3 linked regions of the Caenorhabditis elegans genome follow. The protein of the gene in region 3 interacts with the protein of the main gene of each other region in a pairwise test. Each region holds a gene or a part of one and is shown on either strand. Other genes may lie near its edges.

Region 1 (7,334 bases), 4.9 Mb from region 3:
TCTTTTATGCCGAAATTAACTTTTAAAAATGCTATTTATTTCGCCAACTTCGGCATAAAATTCTTTTAAAAAAGAAGTTCATTGAAGCTGATTGAATTAACGGTTATACCGCCAAATACCCAACGATGGTTTGCGGGCGGAGCGTTTTCAATTGGCAGTAGGGCGCGTTATTTCAAAAGGGGCATTTTTCTGCGTCCCCATAATAAATTTCGCAGGTTTTAAATCATACGAGAAAAAAGATAAATGAAAAAGCACGGCTTAAGTACAATTCAAATTTTTCGCGGCGAGACCCTTACGAGCATGTCCCCGCGCCTTTAAGTCCGCGTTACAGAGAATTGCGCAATAACGTTACTGTGAGCTTTATTGCTCGAATAAAATCTGAAAACTCAATTCTCTCAGTACTCACAGTTCTTTCCTCAAATCAGCACTATTTATCGTAGTATTGCTGGCAGTCGTCGTCGAAACGAGTGTCTTGTTCATTTTGCCGATGATAATTGAACGTTTTGACAAAATAAAGAAACTTCTTATTGAGAACTGATTATTTCCACGATCTGTGGAACTAGTGGGAGATTCTTTTTTAAAGGGTTCACGCGTTTTTTAAACACTCATTGAAATTATTTCTAAATAAAATTGAATTGATGATAAGCGGATACAGAAGAGAACAAATTAAACTATTTAGAATTCACAAATAGTATTGGAAATATAAAAGCTGTAGTCGGAATGAACATGAGATACGATCACGAGAATAGAAAAAGGGTACAATCCCACTGGTGATAATGATAATGATGACAGGAATTGGGAGGGGGGAGTTACAGAAGAAAAAACATAAATAAAATATTTAAGATTGACTTGAAAAAGAATAATTAATAAGACCAGTTTACTGACGATTTCTCTTTGCAGCAGGCTCGTCTTGGGTAGGCGACACGGCGCGGCGTTGGGCGTCTGTGCCTGAAAACATGAAATATTTAAAAGTTTAAAATGAATCTATTACTAACCTCCTTCCACCACAGGATTCTGCTCCACATCTTCTACAGGTGGTTGAGCACCGCCGCGAGCTCTTCTGTCTTGCGCCTTCTGAATCCATTCAAGCTCTAAAGCTCTCAAGTCACGAAGATATGGTTGAACTTGCAATGGCTGCAAGTTTTTGAAGTTTGGAGCATCTGGATTGGCGTCTGGATTGAGTAGTGCAGGCATCTCAATGTTTTTCGGTGCACGCTGTCCATTTGCATTCGCTTCGGCTTCTGCCTCGTTGCGAACCATTCCCATGATTCGATTGACAAGTTCTGCTATCTCAGCTCTATCTGCAACTTCTTGCTCGATTCCTTGAATTGGTGGGAGCGGATTGAGAGGTTCTTGGACAACTACATCATGCCATGGAGCATCCTGAGCTGGATCGTCTCTTGCTCGAAGATTTCCTTCAAGTTCTTGAAGCCTGGCACCCAACTGATTCAATCTTTGTTGTGCATTATCCAAATCACGTCTCATATCAATTTGATCCAATTCAAAAGGATTTCTTGCGTACGGACCTTCGAGATTCCAAATATAATCTCGTAAACCGTCAATAGCCTGTTGAATCGCATCGTTCCTGTGCAATCCCGGATTCTGAGCAATGGCACGGAAAATGTGGTGACGAACCATTCGAAGATCTCGAACATTGTTTCCATTACGATTGGCACGGCGAGGAGCAGCCAACTGCGCTCGAGCAGCAATTCGATGTCTTCGATACATACGATCAGCAATATTCAGTGGAGCCCCAGCAGCACCAGCTAAACGAAGATCCGCAGCAGGCCCAAGAAAATCACCAGCACCATCTACAGCATCATCACCACCACCAGCAGCGGGAGCATCGCCAGCTGGAGCAGCAGCAGCAATCTGAACATCAATAGCAATATCATCGTCCGGAAGATCTCCAAAGATTCGTCGAAAATGAGCCGCTAGGCCCTGATCGTTTGGTGCTAAGAATTCGTCGATTTCATTCGCCAAATGTCGAACTCCTCCAGGAGCATTTGCATCCCGTCCAACAATTGGCACCACAAAACCACCAACTGCTCCAAGTCTTCGGAATCTCTCACGATTGAGAGCTGGGCCAGGTCTTGGTCGTGCCGGAGGAACTGGTACAGGGGCGGGTGCTTGCTTCACTTCTTGTTTGGAACCATCCGTCTCTTGTGGAAAAGCACTTGGACGGAGAACATCACGACCGAACGAGCGATGGTAGCGAGCCTGAAAGATAATTATTACTATTGTTGAAATTAAATGACCGATCCCTGAATTTGCGAAAAACAGCGTCGCACAGAAAGAGAGGTGGGGCTTTTTTCGCAACACTGCGGCCGGTTTTTTCTCTTTTTTTTTCAATAAAATTTCGATTAAACTTGTTTTATTTTCTTTCTTCGAATGCAAAAATATTCCAAATTAATTCTCATAAGATTGTGAGGATATTCCATGTTTTCACAACCAATTTGGTATGAAATATCTTCACAATAATATTTTCATAACAAAAATTATTTTAAACAAAAATCAGTGTAAGGGAGAAAAACCGTGCCGCAGGGTTGCAAAATTACACCCCGCCTTTCTTTCTATGCGACGCTGATTTTTGCAACAGTATAATAAGCAGGGCTTTCGCTTTATGGTTTTTTGGCAAAAAAATAAATTCCAAAAATGTTATGTTTCAGTTGGTATGATGAAAAATTCGACAATTTTTTGTTGGTTTTTGGTCTAAATTTTTATTGCAATATCCCTGATAATAAGATGATTTGATAAGGATACCTTTGAGGAATTTTCAAATTTATCCAAATCGCTGCTCAACGTCTTGAACAACTCTCCAGATGATTTCATAGAACTCATAAATCTATTCAAGCTTTCGTAGAAATCCGGGTGATCTGCTTCCTTTCTAATATTCACCAATGCATTTGCCATTCTCTGAAAAAATAAATTATTTCGTTTGGAGAATTAATATCAAAACTAACTCGTCGATGATCAATTGCTTCAGCTTTCGTCTTGTCAAACGCTAAAAGCGCCTCATCAACAGCTTTTAGCTTCTTTTTGAGCAATGATTCAGCTAGAAGAATCTTCTTATTCGCTTCATATTGAGCAGCCACATTGCTAAATGAGACGAAGATGTGGGTAGAGTGATTCGTTTCGATACACGAACGACAAATGAGGGTTTCCTTCGGACGTTTCTGGAAATAATGGAATAGAGAAAATTTAGGGGTTTTTCGATTTTCCGATATTTCGAAAAATATCTTAGAATTTGGGTGATTTTTCTTGTTTTTTAGAAAAACAGTTATATGCCTTTTTATGTTTTTTCAGCAACATAAGTAAACACAATTTGATCAAAAAAGTTGAATTTTAAGGGTCATTTCCTGAAGGTTTTATTATTATTTTTTTCAAATTTTTCGATTTTCTCTGAAAAAAAAAGGAAAAACACTTTTGGTCCCAGATTTTTTTTAAATTGAAAATTAGTGTCAAAATGTAGAAAATCACTTGATTTATCTGAAAATAATATTTATTTCTGCTGAAGCATTGGAGGAAGTGCTCAAGAATGACCTGAACGTATATATTTTTTGCGTTTTCTAGATATACGCCATTTGTGGCATTTTTCCGCGAAAAAATTTGAATTAATGTTCAATTTTCGATTTTTTTTTTGGCTATTTATTTCCGGATATCAAGTTTTTTACCAAAAAATATCTCAAAAATTACAAATTATTTTTTTAATGGAAAAAAAAACCAAAGGCCATTTTCTGAGGAATTCAAAAATAATTCAGCCATTCAGAATTTTTTTTTGCAAAATTTTTTCTAAAAACCATAAAAATTCAGAAAATTTCTATGTTTTTCTATAATTTAAACGTTTTTAACATCATAAGCCTCCGTTAAATATAAACTTACAATTTTGTCTACATTCTTCAATTCTTCCTCGGAAATCTCTTTCTGGCACGTTTCGTCTGAGCATGTTGTAGCTCTGAAATTTTTCATATAAATTAAAAACCGATTTTTTTCAAAGAATCTTACTCAATAGCGCTCACTGTCGTGTGACACTCGGTACATTTCACAGCTTCCGGCTCTTTTGTTGATTTCTCCTGCTGTCTTTGCTCTAACAATGCTGAAAAAAAATCGATTTTTTGTTTTTTTTAAGGGATTTGGCTTCAAAAAATTTCAAAATAGTCTCAAATTCCAACTTTTTTCGTTTTTCAGAACTACTTTCGATTTTTGAAGCCAAATTTTAAAATAAAATCTCACATTGAATGCAGAAATTAGTTGGAATCTTATCGGCCGGGGTGGTTAAGCTGTAGCGAGTATTTTGTCGGCACGATGGACAGATGACTGTGTTTCCGCCGAGAAAAGTTCTGGTGTTGAGAAGTTTTTTGATACATTGGAGACAAATCGTGTGACCGCATGGAAACACTTTTGGAATACGCTTGCCGGTGTCTGAAAATTTACATTTTAGCGGGATTAAAGGGATTTTAATTTAATAAAATTTAAAAATCGACTTAAAATTAGAAAAACCATAAAACAAAATTTACGATTTTTTCAATTTTGACCAAATTTGCTCCAAATTGAGGCAAAATTGAATTTTTCATTCTTCTGCGATTTCTACCGTTTTTTTTCTGGTTTTTCTGAAGTCAAGGCTAATTTTAAATGTTTTTCAACAAATAACTACTAACTAAACGGGTCATAACAGATTCCGCACGACAATCCTTTCATTTCGGTGCCCTTCGACGTTAAAATTGTATCGTCCGCCTCATCCTCCTTTTCTTTTTCATTTTCTGCCTTCGGAACGTCAGGCGTGGCAACTGCTTCCGGCTGAGGTTGATTATCTTCCCGGTCTAAAACATTTTCAGCTCCAGCTGCTGGCTCATCGTTATTTGCATCATCTACTGGATCATCGACGTTGATAGCTGCATCTATTCCTCCAAACGGATGAGCAAAATCGTCCATCTGGGCCATATCTCGGAACTCTTCCACTGCAATAAAAAATATTATTTATTGATTAAAATAAAGGACGAGTGGGAGGCAATTCTACAAAATTACCTATTGCACTATTATTATTTTAACATTTTTCATTAAAAATAGCGTTAAAATAGAAAATCACTTGATGTAATTGAAAATAACACCTGAACATTCGAAAACGTGTGGAAAAATGAAGCTCAAGTTTTATAATTCGATAATCGACAATTGACACCTTTCAGGCCATTTTTAAGCACTTTCTCAAATGCTTCAGCTGAAATAAAGGTTATTTTCAGATAAATTGAGAGATTTTCCATATTTTGACACTTATTTTAAGTGAAAAATGTTGCAACAACGTGGCGCAACAGGTATTGATCGCTGGAAACTGAATTTCAAAATTTTTCGTATTCAGTAACTTACTGTCGTCTTGCAATTGTCTTTGCAGGTCACGGAGTCGAACATTCAAACCATCAATGTCGAACGGATCCATTTGAGAAATTAAAACGGTGTATTTTTGAAGGAAATAACTCTGAAAAACTTGAAAGAAATGTAATTTCAAAAGAAAATCAGTAGGACATTAAAGGGAGCGGACACGCTTGTGCGAAATGGTTTCGCAGCGGAGTAAAAGTTTGTGGTCGTTTTTCGTCATGTACCTTTAAAATCACAGTACTAATGCCGACTCATTTTTATAAACATCGAAAAAAGGCAAATTTACCTAGAATTCTGATACAGTAGTGAATACAAATATAACGGAGTCACGACAGAATACGTGAGAAACCAGAAAATAAATTTAAAAAAAGGTAAATGAATGCATTTATAAAATTGGGTTCTCAAAGACTATCCGATTCGAATATTCGAGCAATAAATAAAAGAGCACGAAAACGAAACGAAACGAGAAAAAAACATTTGGGGAATGGAACAGTAATAAATAAAAATAGAAAAATGATACGGAAGAGAACACGTGGAATCAAAAAAACATTCAAATTAATCAGGATAAAAGAAAGAGCTGAGGGGGGACGGGGAGGAGGTGGGAGAGACCAAGAATGTGTGGAGGAGAAAAGAAACTTAATATAAAATGTGAAATATTTTCATGCAGATCATTTTGTATGAGGTTAAAACTTCTAATTTTGAGAACTAATAGCGGATGAGAATTATGAAAAGCCCGAATATTTATTTTCTAGTCATCTCTTCGAGAAGGTTATTCTATTTTCTCGTACGGCGACGCTTTGGAAGTGGCTCCGGCTCGATAACTTGGACTTCATCTTCGGCTGAAGTGCCTGGACAACTGTCGGTAAACTCTTTGAGACGTTTTGCAGATGGTTTTGTCATACATCCTTCGAACACTGAAATATTGATTTTTTCAAATTGAAAATATAGATTTAAAGGGGGATTTTTCGATTTTTTTTTTGGGAAAATAAAATTAGATGTTTTTAAAGAAAAATAATATTTTCAGAAGCCCTTCGAAGGATTACATTTTTTAATTTTTTTTTCGAATAAAATGTTTCGGCATTTTTTTAAATATTAACCCGAAAATGGCTAATTTTATAGCAAAAGTTTTCAACTAAAAATCTCAAACATTTTAATAGCGGATAAAAATTTCGAAAAAGGGTTAATTTCAGCTAAAATGAAAGCTGATTGGTCAATTTTTCCGTTCTTTTTGCATATTTTTTTCGCTTTTTGTGGCGAATTTTTGGAAAATAGCTTTGAAAAATTTAGAAAAAAATTCGACTTTTTTAAAAATTTGATTTAAAAATTTTAATTGTTTTTTAACTTCTAAACAATTTTTTTTTTGATTTTTCAAAAAAAAAGGAAGAAAAAAAATGTGATTTTCTTCTAAAAAGCTATTTTTCGAACAATCTAAAATCTGGAATTTTTTAATCGAAAATGTTTGTTTTTCGATATTCTACTATTTTTCGACGACACCGCCCTTGAGGCTCAGTCTTAAAAAACTATACCAACCTCCAAATCCATTCTTCGGAACTTCTTCTTTCTGCACCAGCTCCATCTTAAGTGATCCAGATTCCTCGCTTACTTTCAGCTCAAATGTCTTATGAAACTCCAGCTCTTCGAGTTTAACCGGTGGCTTTGTGCACTTGATAGCAGATTGACCAGCTGCCATGCTGTTAACCTTCGCAAACTTTTCAGTCCCGCCACGTGTGCGACCCTCATCATACACAACTTGTGGCATCAGAACTCCCGTCTCAATACTAATTCCATTTTCAGTAATAAACTTCATAACTTCTGCTGGTGATCCCGTCAGTCCAGCAACAACAATATGAGTATTTCCTTCGGAATCCTTACGAAGATACAATTCAGGTCCTTCAAGATCTTTTTTCGATGCAACATGAATCTCCATTCGGTTACTTCGAGCCATTTTGAGAGTGAGCACTTGA
Region 2 (6,293 bases), on a different chromosome or scaffold from region 3:
GAGTTTTCATCGATTTTTCCTAGTTTTTTATTTAAAACTTATTTATTTATTATTAAACACTAAAATAGAATAAGTAAATTTTAGCAAATCGTAAGAAAAACTGTTGGAAAACAATTAAAATTTCACAGTACCGAAGTTTTGAGAATACAGTAACCTTTAAAGGCGCCCACCCGCATGTATTTTACAAACAATTGTCGTGACGAGACCTGGTGCTGTATTTTTTGCACAAAAATTGAAAAACTTCACGTCTTGGTGATGAAAAATATTAATAAAAGTGGATTTCAGTGTTCCAATTCCATTGCTGCCTTACCACGAACACTTTGCCACGTCTGCAGAATCTTCGTCACATCATCAGAAGCTGAAAGCGTTGGCGCGTGAACACAAAATCCTCAAATGGGCCAAGGAAATCGGTGGCATCGCTAAAAAACGGAGAAGGCGAAGTGGATGGAGTGGATGAAGATGTTCTTGTTTTCTCTAATTGATCAACAACAACAATACGGGACACTTCTGTTTGAATTTTGAGATTTATCGGAAACATAAATATTTGAAGATCGTTTTTCGAACCAACATCATCAGTATTATGCATTGTTTGATGGGGAAGAGAAAGGGGATAGAGAAAAAGAGGAAAACGGGCGGGATTATAGAGATACTTTAGAAAGTGGGGGAGAAGGGAGATAGTATAAGAAAGAAAGAACGGTGACACAATTTTAAAAAATCAGGATTTTCTGCCAAAAATTTCAATTTTCAACAAAATCATGACAGAAAAGGGATGACGAATTGAATTCGAACAGACCAAAGGATGGAACTCGAGTTACGGAATCCTTGTAGGATTGGGGGAATTCTTTAGCAAAAAAAACAACAAAAAAGAAAAGAAAAACAACAAAACGTTTCAACAACAAATCGGGATAGACATGAGGGGGTTTCTTTTAAAGCTTTCGCAGTTGGAATTCGGTGGGATGGTGGTATTAGCATGGGATGGAATGAATAGAGATCGAAGTGAATTTTGTTTGGGCGAGCGGGATATTTGAAAGATTCTTGAAAATCGGAGGAAGTTTTTGTTGTCGTTGGACATCGGTGCCAATCAAAATCCAACGATTTTACTTACGTTTATTCTGGAAACTTGATGGGAATTAGTTTTTTTTTTCAATTTATTAAAATACAAACCTGATAGTTTCCACGTTGTCCTCCTCCTGATCCTCCACCATGTCCACGTGAGTAACCTCCACGACCACCACCACGTCCACTGCCTCCACTTCCTCCAGACGATCGTCCACGATAGCTACCAGTAGAATTTCCGCCATAACTATGGCTATAGTTCTGACCGTATCCTCTACCGCCACTGCGATTTTCTGAATTGTGACGAGATTTATGTGACTGATTGTCTTGTTCGACTATTTGATCGGGAACATCCGGTACAGTATCATCCTGATCATCACTTATTTCCTGCGGATCGATCGGCTTCTGCGAAGACTCTCGAGATTTTGCCACACGTTCTTCTTCTTTCTTTTTTGGACAAATTAGAGGGTGATGACCTTGTTCTCCAGTCGCCTCACAATGCCCGCATTTGATCTTTTTCATATGCTCACACCACAAATCACCATTATCCTTGCGAATACTGAAATTAAATTTTTAATTTTTATAAATTAGAATTTTTAATCTTACTTATGGGAAGACACTTCTTCAGCAGGCAACTGGTAATGTTCACATCGATAACAGTGTAGTTCAGATTTCGAAGTAACATCATCTTTAGACTGAATATCATCCGTTTTCGGATTTTCCTCGCTTATTTCAGTTTTTGTCGCTTCGATAGATGCTTCTTGATCAACTTTAAAATCTTTCTTTGGGGTCTTCTTCCGATGTTTAGGAGTGCTTGACCGACTTGGTGATTCAGAATTTTCAGTCGAAGTTTGATCATCTTTCGATTCGACTAACTGAAGGATCTGTTTACTTGGTGATCCTGCACGTGAGCTAACTGGTTGAAGATGTTCAATTCTATTGGTAAGCTGTGTAACTGATTCATCCACTTGTTGACTGTCGGATTGATATTGACTTGATGAATCAAAATTTCCTCGATTTTGTGGATAACTTTGAGAAGAATTGTAGCTTTGATTAGAATTTTGACGAGAATGTTGGTATCCGTGACCTCGTGAACCACCTCTTCCTCTTCCTGATCCAGCATTTCCACCTCTTCCAGAATTGAAGTAGCCCATCGGCTGTTGCTGTTGCATTCCAAAACCTCCACGTATTGGTCCTCCCATTTGATTAATTTGTCCACTCATTTGATACGGCGGGCCTCCCATGAGCGGCTCAACACCTCCTGGACGTCTACCTTGCTGTTGCATTTGTTGCATTTGATGGTGAGGCGGCGGAACCATTTGCATATATTGTTGCGGTAGATATTGTCCTGGATGCTGTTGTTGGGTCATTTGTGCATTCATATGAGGATGATTTTGCTGATGGGGATGATTCATCATAGAAGCAGCAGCATGAGGTGGTGGTGGGCCTCCTTGTGGCATTCCGTATGGTTGCATTTGCTGAAACATCTGAGGAATTGTTGTTTGTTCTTTTTAAAAAAAGTGTAACTCTGTGAAATTGTCAAAATATAATATAAAATCTTCCCCTAATTTTTTTAAAGTTGTACCTGCATCTGATGTTGCATTTGGACGGCTTGTTGTTGATCCATTTGTTGATGTTGTTGCTGAGGCTGCGTGAAGTTTCCTGGTGGAGCGTAACCGACAGGCATCTGATTCCAGAGTGGGTTCGATACAAAATCCTGTTGATGGTAGCCTTGTTGAGGTTGTTGTTCATTCTGATGTTGATGTTGCTGACCATCGTCCTCATTTTGACTGTTTCGTTTACTTTTGCGAGCATTTCCTCCGTCTTTTTCCAAACTGCTAGCTCCACCAGCTGGCTCTTGCCGGAACACTCGTGGTGCTGGCACAGGAACATACACCATTGGATACAGCATTGGATGTTGTTGCTGCTGCTGTTGATTCTGTGGATTGTGAGGCATCATTTGAATAATTTGGCCTTGCGGGCCTTGTGGACCCCTATACTGTCCATAAGATTGAGCATTGTGTGGCGGTGGTGGCCGTTGCTGGATTACTGGTCCAGCATAATATTGAGCTTGTCCACTATGTCCCTGCTGTTGATAGGTATTTCCTGGAGGAGGTCCTTGTCCACGGTACTGATCAATTTCATAGTTGCCACTGTTCATCATTTGCTGCTGATTTTGTGGTGGTGGCCCTGCTTGAGGATCTAAAATTATGCTTTTGAACAGAACACAGTAAGTTTGCACCAACTATATTGTGGCCGACCATCGAAATTATCGTTGGGGCCATGAATGACAAAATTATTGTTTCCACCGTTGTTGTCATCCGCGTATCCACTTGGCGGACCACCGCTTTCCATTTGTTGATACTGCTGAAAATAAAGAATTTGCAAAATGTCTATCAACTCTTCTCATTATTTTCCTGTAGATATAATTTCCAAATCATAACGCTCATTAAAAAATTATTATGAGCTAGAAATAATTGAGGAGCCCGTAATTCTCCATACCCGATAGCCTCCTGGTGGTCCTCTTTGGTATTGTCCACCATCGGATCCACCTCCAAACTGCTGCTGTTGATCATATCCTTCTTGTGGTGGTGGTTGTTGTTGCTGATAGCCGGGCGCGCCGACGGTTCCTCCGTAATATGTCATACCATTTGGTGGTCCAGTATGTGGCGGCTGTGGGCGCATTTGAGAGAATTGCTGTTGACCGCTGTTCCGATGATAAGCTGCTCGATGCTGAAAATGAATGAGATAAATTACATGTTTGATATTTCACTGATTTGAAAAATCTCTCAATTCTCTTAAAACCTTGCGCACCTCAAAAGTGTTCTTTTTCTGACTTATCTTTTTTCGATAGGATTTTCAATAGTTTCCTACTTACAAATCCTGGCGGAGCACGTGTCTGTTGAGGTGTGCCCTTTTGGTCGTCAGTCCCTAGCCCAGAATCTGGTGTTGTCCTAGTGGTGTTTCCTGGCGGCTCTGAATACTCAAACGAAATTGCTGACGACACGTTGGCAGTCGAGTTCGGCACCGAATCAGTCGTTGAGGTATGATGGGGGTTGTTGTTGTTTTGGTTTGAGTTTGCAGCGCTGCCGCCGTTTTTCTTGTTGTTATTATTATAGACGGTTGGGGCACGTTGTTGTTGCTGCTGTGAATGTTGCTGGAACTGCTGTCCAGACATTACCAAGTGAACGTTGACTGTAAATGTTGACTATCGAAGTGTTTTAAAATATGCAATATGTTTAGAAAAAGAGAATCAGCAAAATTTTATCGGAATCTATGTTTTCAAAAATAAGGAGCTCAATTGGCAAAGAGTATCAAAGAAAATGAGAAATTGAAAAAGGAACATGTGATTTTGGTAAAACTAGTTTTTAGTTCTCAGTTGAGTGGAAATAACAGAAAAAAACATACTCGGAACACTTTGTGTGTAGAAATGTAATAATTGCATATTTTTCCAGAGTTTATATTGCAAAATGATAATGTTACTAGTTTAAGATAACTCTTATTTGAAGGCGGCAAGGTAATAAGAGAACAAAAAGGTTAGAAATCTATAAAAAGCGTCGGCGAACGCTAATAAATTCATCGATAAAATGCCGAAATGGGTGGGCACTTAAAGGCGCGTAGAATTAAACGGGAAGTGGGTCTCGCAGCGAATAAGTACGGTGACACTTGTTTCGGCATTAGTGTCGATTTACGGAGTCGTTTTTTTAGATCATTTGATAGATTTTAAGTAAATTTCACCTATTTTCTATTCTTTTCATCAACCTTTACAGTTTAAATTATGTTATTCTTATTTTTAACTCTTGATCCCTCAAATAACTGCGTTACTAAAACATTTTAAGGTGAAATGACTGAACCTATCAAGGAAATTGCCGCGAAAAGAAGTGTCGAAGCAGTTTACACCGGAGGAACTGTCAGATGGAGTGCAAATGGTCAGAAACTTTTTTCTACATGCACAAATGTTGTGAAAGTGATTGATCTGGCTGACAATACTGCAAGGTATGTGATGTTGCGACAGAACTTTAAAACAAGTTTCACCCACAAAACTAGAAGTAGATTGATTATGATTATTTGAAAAATTGAATATGAATAATTTTGAAGTTTAATAAAATAAATTAAATTTGAAATGCATCAAATCTTTTGCAGCTATACCATCGGCGACCCTGAAGATGAGCTACGCATTACGTGCACAGCTGTCGACAAGAACAGAAATCGCCTTTTGGTCGCCTATAACAATCAAATAATTCGTGAATACTCAATTCCTTTGGATCCGTCGACAACTAAACCAGAGTTGGCCAGAACATGGAAAACCATACACACTGCTCCTATTCTCGTTATGGAATTCAATGAGGAGGGCCATTTACTGGCGACTGGAAGTGCCGATCACATCGTGAAAGTCTGGAATCTGACAGAGCAACAATGTACACACACATTAAAAGGACCCTCGGTAGTTTCAGCAATTCTGTTCGGAAAACATGAAAAGCTTGTCGTTGGATACATTGAAGGACAATTGAACCTCTATAATATAATGAGAGGTGCTCCGAAAAAACTTGTAAACACATGGAAAAGTCATAATTCTCATATTACCGCACTGCTTCAAGTTCCGGATTCACGAGTTGTTGTGGCTCTTTCGCGAGATCAGACGATGAGTATTCATGAAACAGAAACTCAAGAAACACTCCGAGTTCTTCCACTCTACGAATCAATTGAAGGCGGAGCAATCGGACATAACGGAAATCTTTTCACTGTTGGAGAAGAGGGTGTTGTTAAGGAATTTGTGATTGAAACTGCGAAGTTGGTCAGAAAGAAAAGGATTGCCAGCTCGAATCTCGATCACTTGGCCTACGATGTTGTTTCTAATCGCTTTTTGGCAATTTCCGCCGAACAAAATCTTATAATTTTGGATTTTGAAAATCTGAAAATTGCAAGACAAATTGTTGGATTCCATGACGAAGTGAGTTTTATAGTTGACCTTGAAAGAAAAACAATGATTGCAAATTGGAATTGAAAACCATTTGTTGATATCATTTTTGTCATATCAAGTTGCTTTAATGTATAATTTTTCGAATGTAAATCTTTTATACAAAATTCGTAAAAAAACACCGAAAAACGAAAATATTTGATTTTATCATTTTTTTAATAATTTTTTCTTTGAATATTACCACTTTTAATATGCTCTCAAATTGCCAAGTAATATTTCTACGAATAGTAATAATTGGATTTAAGAACCTTCTTAATTA
Region 3 (7,789 bases):
GACATGTCAGAACCGGACAGTTCGTCGCTTTTTTGTTTTAAAATTTCCGGAATAATTAGAATAATTTATGAGTCGGAGCTCATCAAATTAGGAACTCAGTAGTTGAAAATATTCCAACTAAAAATTGGTAGAATTATTTTTCAAGTTCTAGTACTACACCGAATTAAATAGAAATTTTCTTCTGTTCGAAAACACCCTTCTGAAAAAGAGTTGTTTATGATATTTGATATCTAATTTTATACCTAACTTTAAAAAAAAAAGTTATCACCAATTTGTTTCAATTTAAAAATACTAGAACACATACTCGTCCGTTTCTTCAACGATGAATCACCATCTACATCACTGCAACCTCCTCGATCCAAACACTCTCTTACTATTCACTTTTTCTTTTCTTTCTCTCCTTTTTATTTGTTGTATATTTCATCACTTTTTTCCATTTTTGTTCGTCATATACTCATGTTTCTCATCTCCTTGTGCCGTTTGGCACTCCCGAGACGTTTTCACTGATGAATGCAAAAAGTCATGGCTTTTGGTCTTTTCGAGTGAAATTCGACATTTTATTTTTTTCATTTTTCTCTGATAATGAAACAAAACTTTGATAATGACTCACTTTGCCTAGTTTTGATCAAAATTTTGATAAAATTGAAATTAGTGAGTTTTGTAGAAAATTGGCTTTCAATTTTTAAGTTTCGCGCTGTTTTCGTTAGGGCGCACTTGCACATTGCGATTTATCTTCCGTGGGCACGGTTTCTGAATTTATAGGCGGAGTTTTTTGTTGAATGCTTATTAATAACATATTTTATTATGACGAAAGTTTATATTTGTTTTTAAATATGAATTTATATAAACCAAATTTAGATTAATAGCTTAATGTAAAAGATTTCCTAAAAATAACTTTTCCATAAGATAAACTTCTCCGCAAGTTTGAAAGTCCTCTTAAAATTAATTTTAATTTTGTTTCATTTGAATTAGTTGTCTTTTGCAGCTGTTTGTCAGGATTTCATAACTTATTCAAAGATTTTTTTCTATTTTTCATCCGTCTAATGTTTTGCTCAAATCAAAATTCATAAATAAATATTCTAATATGTATCTTCAAGCCTCTTCCAATTTTTTCTGAAACTCACTAAATATATTAAACACTCCTTCCATGTTTCCTACACATTTCTGACACATCTAAAATCAAACAGATCAGAGATGTGGTCATCGTGAAATTGAAAATATGTTCCTCTTGCTTATGAGTCATCGTGTTGTGTTGACTGCCTACGTCTCTCGTTCTTCATGCATCTTTTGTTTTAGACTTTATACTAATAGTAAAAATTCTAGAATGCGTTTCATTAGACAGAAACTGTTTTCAAAAACACCTTTGAATTCTGTTAGAATAATTTTAAATTATTCAACACTCTATCCACAGCTTTTATGTTCAAACGAAACTTAACGGTGTCCATCTATGTCTCCGCGATTTCTGAAGGTCACACTCCAAGGTGGCAAGGATGTAAATGAAGACAGGCACAATTGGAAAGTGGTCACCTCCTTCTGTTCATCCTCCTTTCGTTCCAAAAAGTCAATCGTCTCACCTCAATTGGTCTGTCGCTTCTCAAATTCTCTACCCGTTTGACTTTTATTTAAAATTGTTTACTTCACTCTAAATTTTAATATTTTTCAATTTTAAATTGTCTTAAATCCGTTCTTAAAATTTTGGTTTTCATCGAGAAACTTTCATTCATCTCCTCTAGTTCATAATTCCTACTCATCAATCTTTTCATTTCGCTCGATGAATTCACTACCTTCTATTATAAACGAAATTACCGGATTACTCTCTCTCTTTTACTCTTCAACTGTAATAAAAAAGCGACAAGTTGGTCGAAAACGACATTTATAATCCCCTCTCCTGTTTCTTAGACTTTTTGTTTCCCATATTCCCCATTTCTCGGAATTATGTCTGTTTTTTTCAGTAAATACGCCGGTGGTTCATTATGGCGTTCCACTGGCAATCAAAAGTCAATGTTCAGCATGTCGGGGTCGATGACATGGTCCTTCTGCCAAAACTCACAGAGCAAAGTATCGTTGAAAATTTAAAGAAGAGGCTTCAAGCTAACAGTATTTTTGTAAGTTTAGAAGCTTTTCTATCAATTGTTATATTTTTTTGCTGGTTCAAGAAACTTAATCGCTAAAGTTAATTTTAAAGCCTAACCAATAATTAATGTTTCATATTTCAGACATATATTGGTCCTGTACTGATATCGGTAAATCCCTTCAAACAAATGCCATATTTTACGGAGAAAGAAATGCTTCTATATCAGGGAGCTGCTCAATATGAAAATGCGCCACATATCTATGCATTGGCTGATAACATGTACAGGTAAGATAGTTTTCAATGTAATGAAAAATGTTTTTAAAAAAGTTGAAAATTCAGAAATATGCTCATTGATAACGAGTCCCAATGTGTTATTATATCTGGAGAATCCGGTGCCGGTAAAACAGTCAACGCGAAGTTCATTATGAATTATATTTCTCGTATTTCGGGAGGAGGGCAGAAAGTTCAGGTAAATTTACTGATTAGAGGTATGATTTTGAAACTATGAATTTTCAGCACATCAAAGATGTTATTTTGCAATCAAATCCACTTCTCGAAGCTTTCGGAAACAGTGCAACAGTCCGTAACTGGAACAGTTCGAGATTTGGAAAATACGTAGAAATTGTGTTCAGTCGAGGTGGAGAACCTATTGGTGGAAAAGTAGGTTTTTAATAGTTTTTTTGCTAATTTTTCACAAACAATTTTTCAGCTTTCCAACTTTCTTTTGGAAAAGTCTCGAGTTGTTCATCAAAATGAAGGAGATCGAAACTTCCATGTTTTTTATCAATTATGCGCTGGCGCAGACAAGAACTTGAGAAGTACTTTCGGAATTGGAGAACTTCAATATTACAACTATTTAAATATGAGTGGAGTTTTCAAAGCAGACGATACGGACGATGGGAAGGAATTTGAGAGCACCCTGGTAAGATTTATGATCAGACAAATCGATTTTGTACAACAAGAACTCAGAAATTATTTTCCCCGTTTTATATAAAATATTATATTTTCCAGCACGCAATGAAAGTTGTCGGTGTTAATGATCAAGATCAATTAGAAGTTTTGCGAATTGTGGCAACTGTTCTCCATATCGGAAATATCACTTTCACCGAGGAGAATAATTTTGCTGCAGTTAGTGGAAAAGATTGTGAGTTACTGTTTTAAGATATATCACTTTACATTTAATTATTTAGATCTTGAATATCCTGCCTTCCTTCTGGGACTCACTAGTGCAGACATTGAGGCAAAGCTTACTGGTCGTAAAATGGAGAGCAAGTGAGCAGTTTCACATTAGTTTCAAATATTTCAATTTATTTTCAGATGGGGTACACAAAAGGAAGAAATCGATATGAAGCTTAACGTTGAGCAGGCGAGCTATACCAGAGACGCATGGGTTAAAGCAATTTACGCAAGATTATTCGATTATCTTGGTTAGCTTATTCATTTAAAATTTCTTTCCATGTATAAAAAATTACAGTAAAAAAAGTGAATGACGCAATGAATATCACTTCACAATCGACTTCAGACAACTTTTCTGTTGGAATTCTTGATATCTACGGTTTCGAAATTTTCAACAATAATGGATTTGAACAATTTTGGTAAGTTTAAGTTATTCTACTGAAATGATTGACCCAGTTTGTCTAAAAACCGAATTGTTCCTATTTTTGTTTTTGGAAAACCTTAATATTGATGAAATTAATACGAATTTCAGTATCAACTTTGTCAATGAAAAACTTCAACAAATCTTCATCGAATTAACGCTAAAAGCAGAACAGGAAGAATATGTTCGTGAAGGAATCAAATGGACAGAAATCGATTATTTCGATAACAAAATCGTGTGTGATCTGATTGAAACGAAGCGTCCACCTGGAATAATGAGCCTTCTTGATGATACATGTGCTCAAAATCATGGACAACGAGAAGGTGTCGATCGTCAATTGCTCACGACTCTTTCGAAATCATTTGCTGGACATCCCCATTTCGGCCCTGGCTCAGATTCATTCGTTATCAAACATTATGCTGGAGATGTTACATATAATGTAGATGGATTCTGTGATAGAAACAGAGATGTTCTTTATCCAGATCTTATTCTACTCATGCAAAAGTCTTCACGGTAAGGTTTTAATTTTCTAAATGTGTGTTTTGTTTTATTATTTCATTTGGTTTTTTTTTTCAGCCCATTCATTCAAGCTTTATTCCCTGAAAATGTAGCTGCGTCAGCTGGAAAACGACCAACAACATTCTCAACTAAGATTCGAGTATGTTTTAGTAATAAAATGTCAACATTTTTAATTTTAATTGCAGACTCAAGCTAATACTCTTGTGGAATCCCTGATGAAATGCTCACCTCATTACGTACGATGTATCAAGCCAAATGAAACAAAACGACCAAATGATTGGGAAGAGAGTCGAGTGAAGCATCAGGTTGAATATTTGGGTCTTCGTGAGAATATTCGAGTGAGAAGAGCTGGTTTTGCATATCGAAGAGCTTTCGACAAATTTGCCCAACGATATGCCATCGTCTCTCCTCAAACGTGGCCATGTTTCCAAGGAGATCAGCAAAGAGCTTGTGAGATAATCTGCGATTCAGTTCATATGGAAAAGAATCAGTATCAGATGGGAAAAACTAAGATATTTGTAAAGAATCCCGAATCGGTATGTTTTTCTAAATCAAAATATCGAAATGCAATAGATACATTCCAGCTGTTTTTATTGGAAGAGACTCGTGAACGCAAGTTTGATGGTTACGCAAGAGTCATTCAAAAAGCCTGGAGACAATTCTCGGCTAGAAAGCAGCACATTAAGCAAAAGGTAAAATCCAACAAAAATAAAAAATTGAATAAACATAAATTCTTATTTCAGGAGCAAGCTGCCGACCTCATGTATGGAAAAAAGGAACGCCGTCGCTACTCATTAAACCGAAACTTTGTCGGAGATTACATTGGATTAGAGCATCATCCGACACTTCAGTCCCTGGTTGGCAAGCGTCAGAGAGTGCTGTTTGCATGCACTGCTAACAAATATGATAGAAAGTTTAGGGTACGGTAAATTTGAGTTTAATTATTAGTCATCAATCGTTTATGTTTAGGTGACAAAACTTGATTTACTTTTGACTGTCAATCATTTGACTCTTATTGGAAAAGAAAAAGTGAAGAATGGTCCCGAAAAGGGGAAGATCGTTGAAGTTATCAAAAGGTATGATTTTTCCATTTTATTAAGATTAGTTTAAAATTAAAATTTCAGACAATTTGATCTACCTCAAATCAAATCAATTGGTCTATCTCCATATCAAGACGATTTTGTGATATTATATCTGGGAAACGATGATTATTCTTCTCTTCTCGAAACACCATTCAAAACTGAATTCTGTACAGCTCTCTCGTAAGCGCATTATATTGATTTGACTAATTCAAAGTTACGTATTCTTCAATTTTAGAAAAGCATATAAAGAACGAACAAACGGTACTCTTCATCTCGATTTCCGTAGTTCTCATGTTGTTAGTTACAAAAAGATGAAATTCGATTTCTCCGATGGAAAACGAACGGTTCAGTTTGGAAACGATGGAACTTCGTCTGCAGAGAAGACATTGAAACCAAATGGAAAAGTTTTGAATGTTAGCATTGGTACTGGATTACCGAATACTACAAGTGAGTCGAGAATGTTTGAAAAAATTATCTTAATTGTAACTAATCAGAACAAAAAACTTATTAAAGATGGATCAATGTGGAAATTGCTTTAAAACTTGCCTATAGCACCACAATCAAGGCTGGGACCAAAAAAATTTTAATTTGTGAAAAAACAAAAAAAAAGTCGACTTTTGGTATATTTTGAACTTTTTAGAAAAAAATCATTGAAAACCATTAAGGAACACATTTTGCTTTAAAAAATTGTAAATCCCAAAATACCCCAAAATACCCCAAAATACTCAAAATACCAACAAAAAAACCAAAAAAAGCCCTGACCACAATGACCAAATATCATAGTAAAAAGTTCAAAAAATGTTTTAATTTTCATGATTTTTTGAAATTTGAAAAAGTCTCAGTTTTTCCACTTTGTTGGAAGTCGTCGATCAAAAAATGTTATCCTGTTAATTTGACGGTCGTATGTTTTAAACATTACTATTCAAACATTGTAGGGATGCGACAGTGATATAGTTTTCTCAAAAAGTGGCAAAAACTCGGTTATTGTCACTTTTTGACTTTCAATTTTTTCTTTTGAAAAGTTTTCCTATGATATTTGGTTATTTTGGAACCATGTTTAACTATTTCCAAACTGGCGCTACTCCACCTTTGTAACTGTAGTGGCGTGTAACTTCTTTAAATAATATAGAAGTTACGAATAAAATTTGAATCTTCAGGGCCATCAACTGAACGTCCACAAGGTGGGTACACCCCGCGAAGAGATCAATTGAGAACATCAACACGACGAACGAAACAGAATAATCAAAGTTATGGACAAAATGGCCAATCTCAGGCAATGAGAGCTCCGGTAAGATTTTCAAAATTAATTCCATTGTAATTTAGATTTTCAAATTTCAGGTTCCCGCTCATGGAATGAATAACAATTACAATCAGACACCAGCTCCAGTATCGACTAATCATCAATATAGCCAAGAACCTGCGCGAATTCCAGTGATGGGAAACGTCATAAATCAGTTGAATAACATGAATCTATCTGGAAACGGAAACTCTCCAGCTGGACGAGGACCTCCGCCAGCGCGTGGACCAAAACCTCCTCCACCAGCAAAGCCAAAGCTTAATCCTGTCGTTATTGCTGTCTATCCATATGAAGCTCAAGATGTTGATGAGCTCAGCTTTGAAGCTGGAGCTGAAATTGAACTCATGAACAAAGGTTTGTCATAACTATAAGAATACTATTTTTTTAAATATTTGTGATTTCAGATGCTTCTGGATGGTGGCAAGGAAAAGTGAACAATCGAGTTGGTCTTTTCCCCGGAAATTATGTCAAAGAATAATTTCATTTTTTATTGCACGATCTCCCCCTCATTTCCCCAATATCTGTGAAATGCCTGTTTGTGAACATTGATTACGAGTTGTACTATATTTCTTTAAATATTTTATATTAGCATCCTTTACTCATCAAATACTTACTTCTGTTTATAAACCACAATGGTGTAATTTCATGTTAAATTGTTACTATATTGTTTAAAATAAATCGGAAGACTACTTTTTTCTCGTCAAGTATTTCTACAAGAAAAGTATACACACCAGGGATGGATCAATAAAACTATTTTCAAATTTAGGTTTTGGATCAGTTCACAAAACTTGCTACCATATATCCTACTTTTTATGCACGGAATATATATTTACATACAAACTTTCATGTTTTACGAGCTCGATAATAACAAATACAGAATCTTAGACCTTATGCAACGTTTTCGATGAAAACTTTACGAACATTTTTTTCAATTCACCTCCAAACCGAAAATTCATTAAAAATGTTTTTGTTTCTATTAATCTTCGTGCTTCCTCGGCTCATTACTGCTAATTTGAAGATGATGGTAGTATACGGTGAAACAGATGAATACAATAATCACTCAGAAATTCAAGAAAATTGGGACAATTGTCTGGTAAAATGCTACTGGGATGACGATTGTTTAGTGAGTTATTGTATTGGATTAAGGTTTGGTACGGTATACATGAAATTTTTCAAGAAAAAAAAACGTTCCATGTTCTTAAATTTAAACCTGAAAAAAG

What was found. The genes of interacting proteins can lie anywhere in the genome.
Region 1: the proteins of hum-1 (region 3) and T20F5.6 interact in a two-hybrid assay, tested with the Caenorhabditis elegans proteins (one large-scale study listed by BioGRID).
Region 2: the proteins of hum-1 (region 3) and nos-3 interact in a two-hybrid assay, tested with the Caenorhabditis elegans proteins (one large-scale study listed by BioGRID).

What each region holds. Positions count from the first base shown.
Region 1 is NC_003279.8:3,919,693-3,927,026, forward strand, and holds T20F5.6 (RING-type domain-containing protein), read right to left. Parts: upstream 5,471-7,334; 5' UTR 5,432-5,470; coding exon 5,362-5,431; intron 4,959-5,361; coding exon 4,659-4,958; intron 4,423-4,658; coding exon 4,234-4,422; intron 4,097-4,233; coding exon 4,006-4,096; intron 3,956-4,005; coding exon 3,883-3,955; intron 3,177-3,882; coding exon 2,964-3,176; intron 2,917-2,963; coding exon 2,764-2,916; intron 2,221-2,763; coding exon 996-2,220; intron 949-995; coding exon 878-948; 3' UTR 514-877; downstream 1-513. Other genes in the region: T20F5.5 (Flocculation protein FLO11-like), read right to left, coding at 407-480; T20F5.7 (RING-type domain-containing protein), read right to left, coding at 6,145-6,284, 6,901-7,334.
Region 2 is NC_003280.10:9,744,675-9,750,967, reverse strand, and holds nos-3 (Nanos-type domain-containing protein), read right to left. Parts: upstream 4,653-6,293; 5' UTR 4,502-4,652; coding exon 4,465-4,501; intron 4,267-4,464; exon of another isoform or gene 4,252-4,266; coding exon 3,935-4,251; intron 3,790-3,934; coding exon 3,559-3,789; intron 3,424-3,558; coding exon 3,303-3,423; intron 3,259-3,302; coding exon 2,642-3,258; intron 2,544-2,641; coding exon 1,663-2,543; intron 1,616-1,662; coding exon 1,165-1,615; intron 1,120-1,164; coding exon 1,108-1,119; coding exon of another isoform or gene 1,098-1,107; 3' UTR 514-1,097; downstream 1-513. Other genes in the region: Y53C12B.7 (uncharacterized protein), read left to right, coding at 286-457; Y53C12B.1 (U3 small nucleolar RNA-associated protein 13 C-terminal domain-containing protein), read left to right, coding at 4,901-5,052, 5,200-6,007.
Region 3 is NC_003279.8:8,845,280-8,853,068, reverse strand, and holds hum-1 (Unconventional myosin-Ie), read left to right. Parts: upstream 1-1,952; 5' UTR 1,953-1,973; coding exon 1,974-2,105; intron 2,106-2,216; coding exon 2,217-2,359; intron 2,360-2,413; coding exon 2,414-2,543; intron 2,544-2,590; coding exon 2,591-2,734; intron 2,735-2,783; coding exon 2,784-2,996; intron 2,997-3,085; coding exon 3,086-3,218; intron 3,219-3,264; coding exon 3,265-3,346; intron 3,347-3,391; coding exon 3,392-3,501; intron 3,502-3,548; coding exon 3,549-3,669; intron 3,670-3,782; coding exon 3,783-4,184; intron 4,185-4,247; coding exon 4,248-4,329; intron 4,330-4,375; coding exon 4,376-4,726; intron 4,727-4,774; coding exon 4,775-4,882; intron 4,883-4,933; coding exon 4,934-5,110; intron 5,111-5,159; coding exon 5,160-5,266; intron 5,267-5,314; coding exon 5,315-5,452; intron 5,453-5,507; coding exon 5,508-5,719; intron 5,720-6,429; coding exon 6,430-6,560; intron 6,561-6,610; coding exon 6,611-6,923; intron 6,924-6,973; and 3 more. Other genes in the region: F29D10.3 (PAN-3 domain-containing protein), read left to right, coding at 7,588-7,692.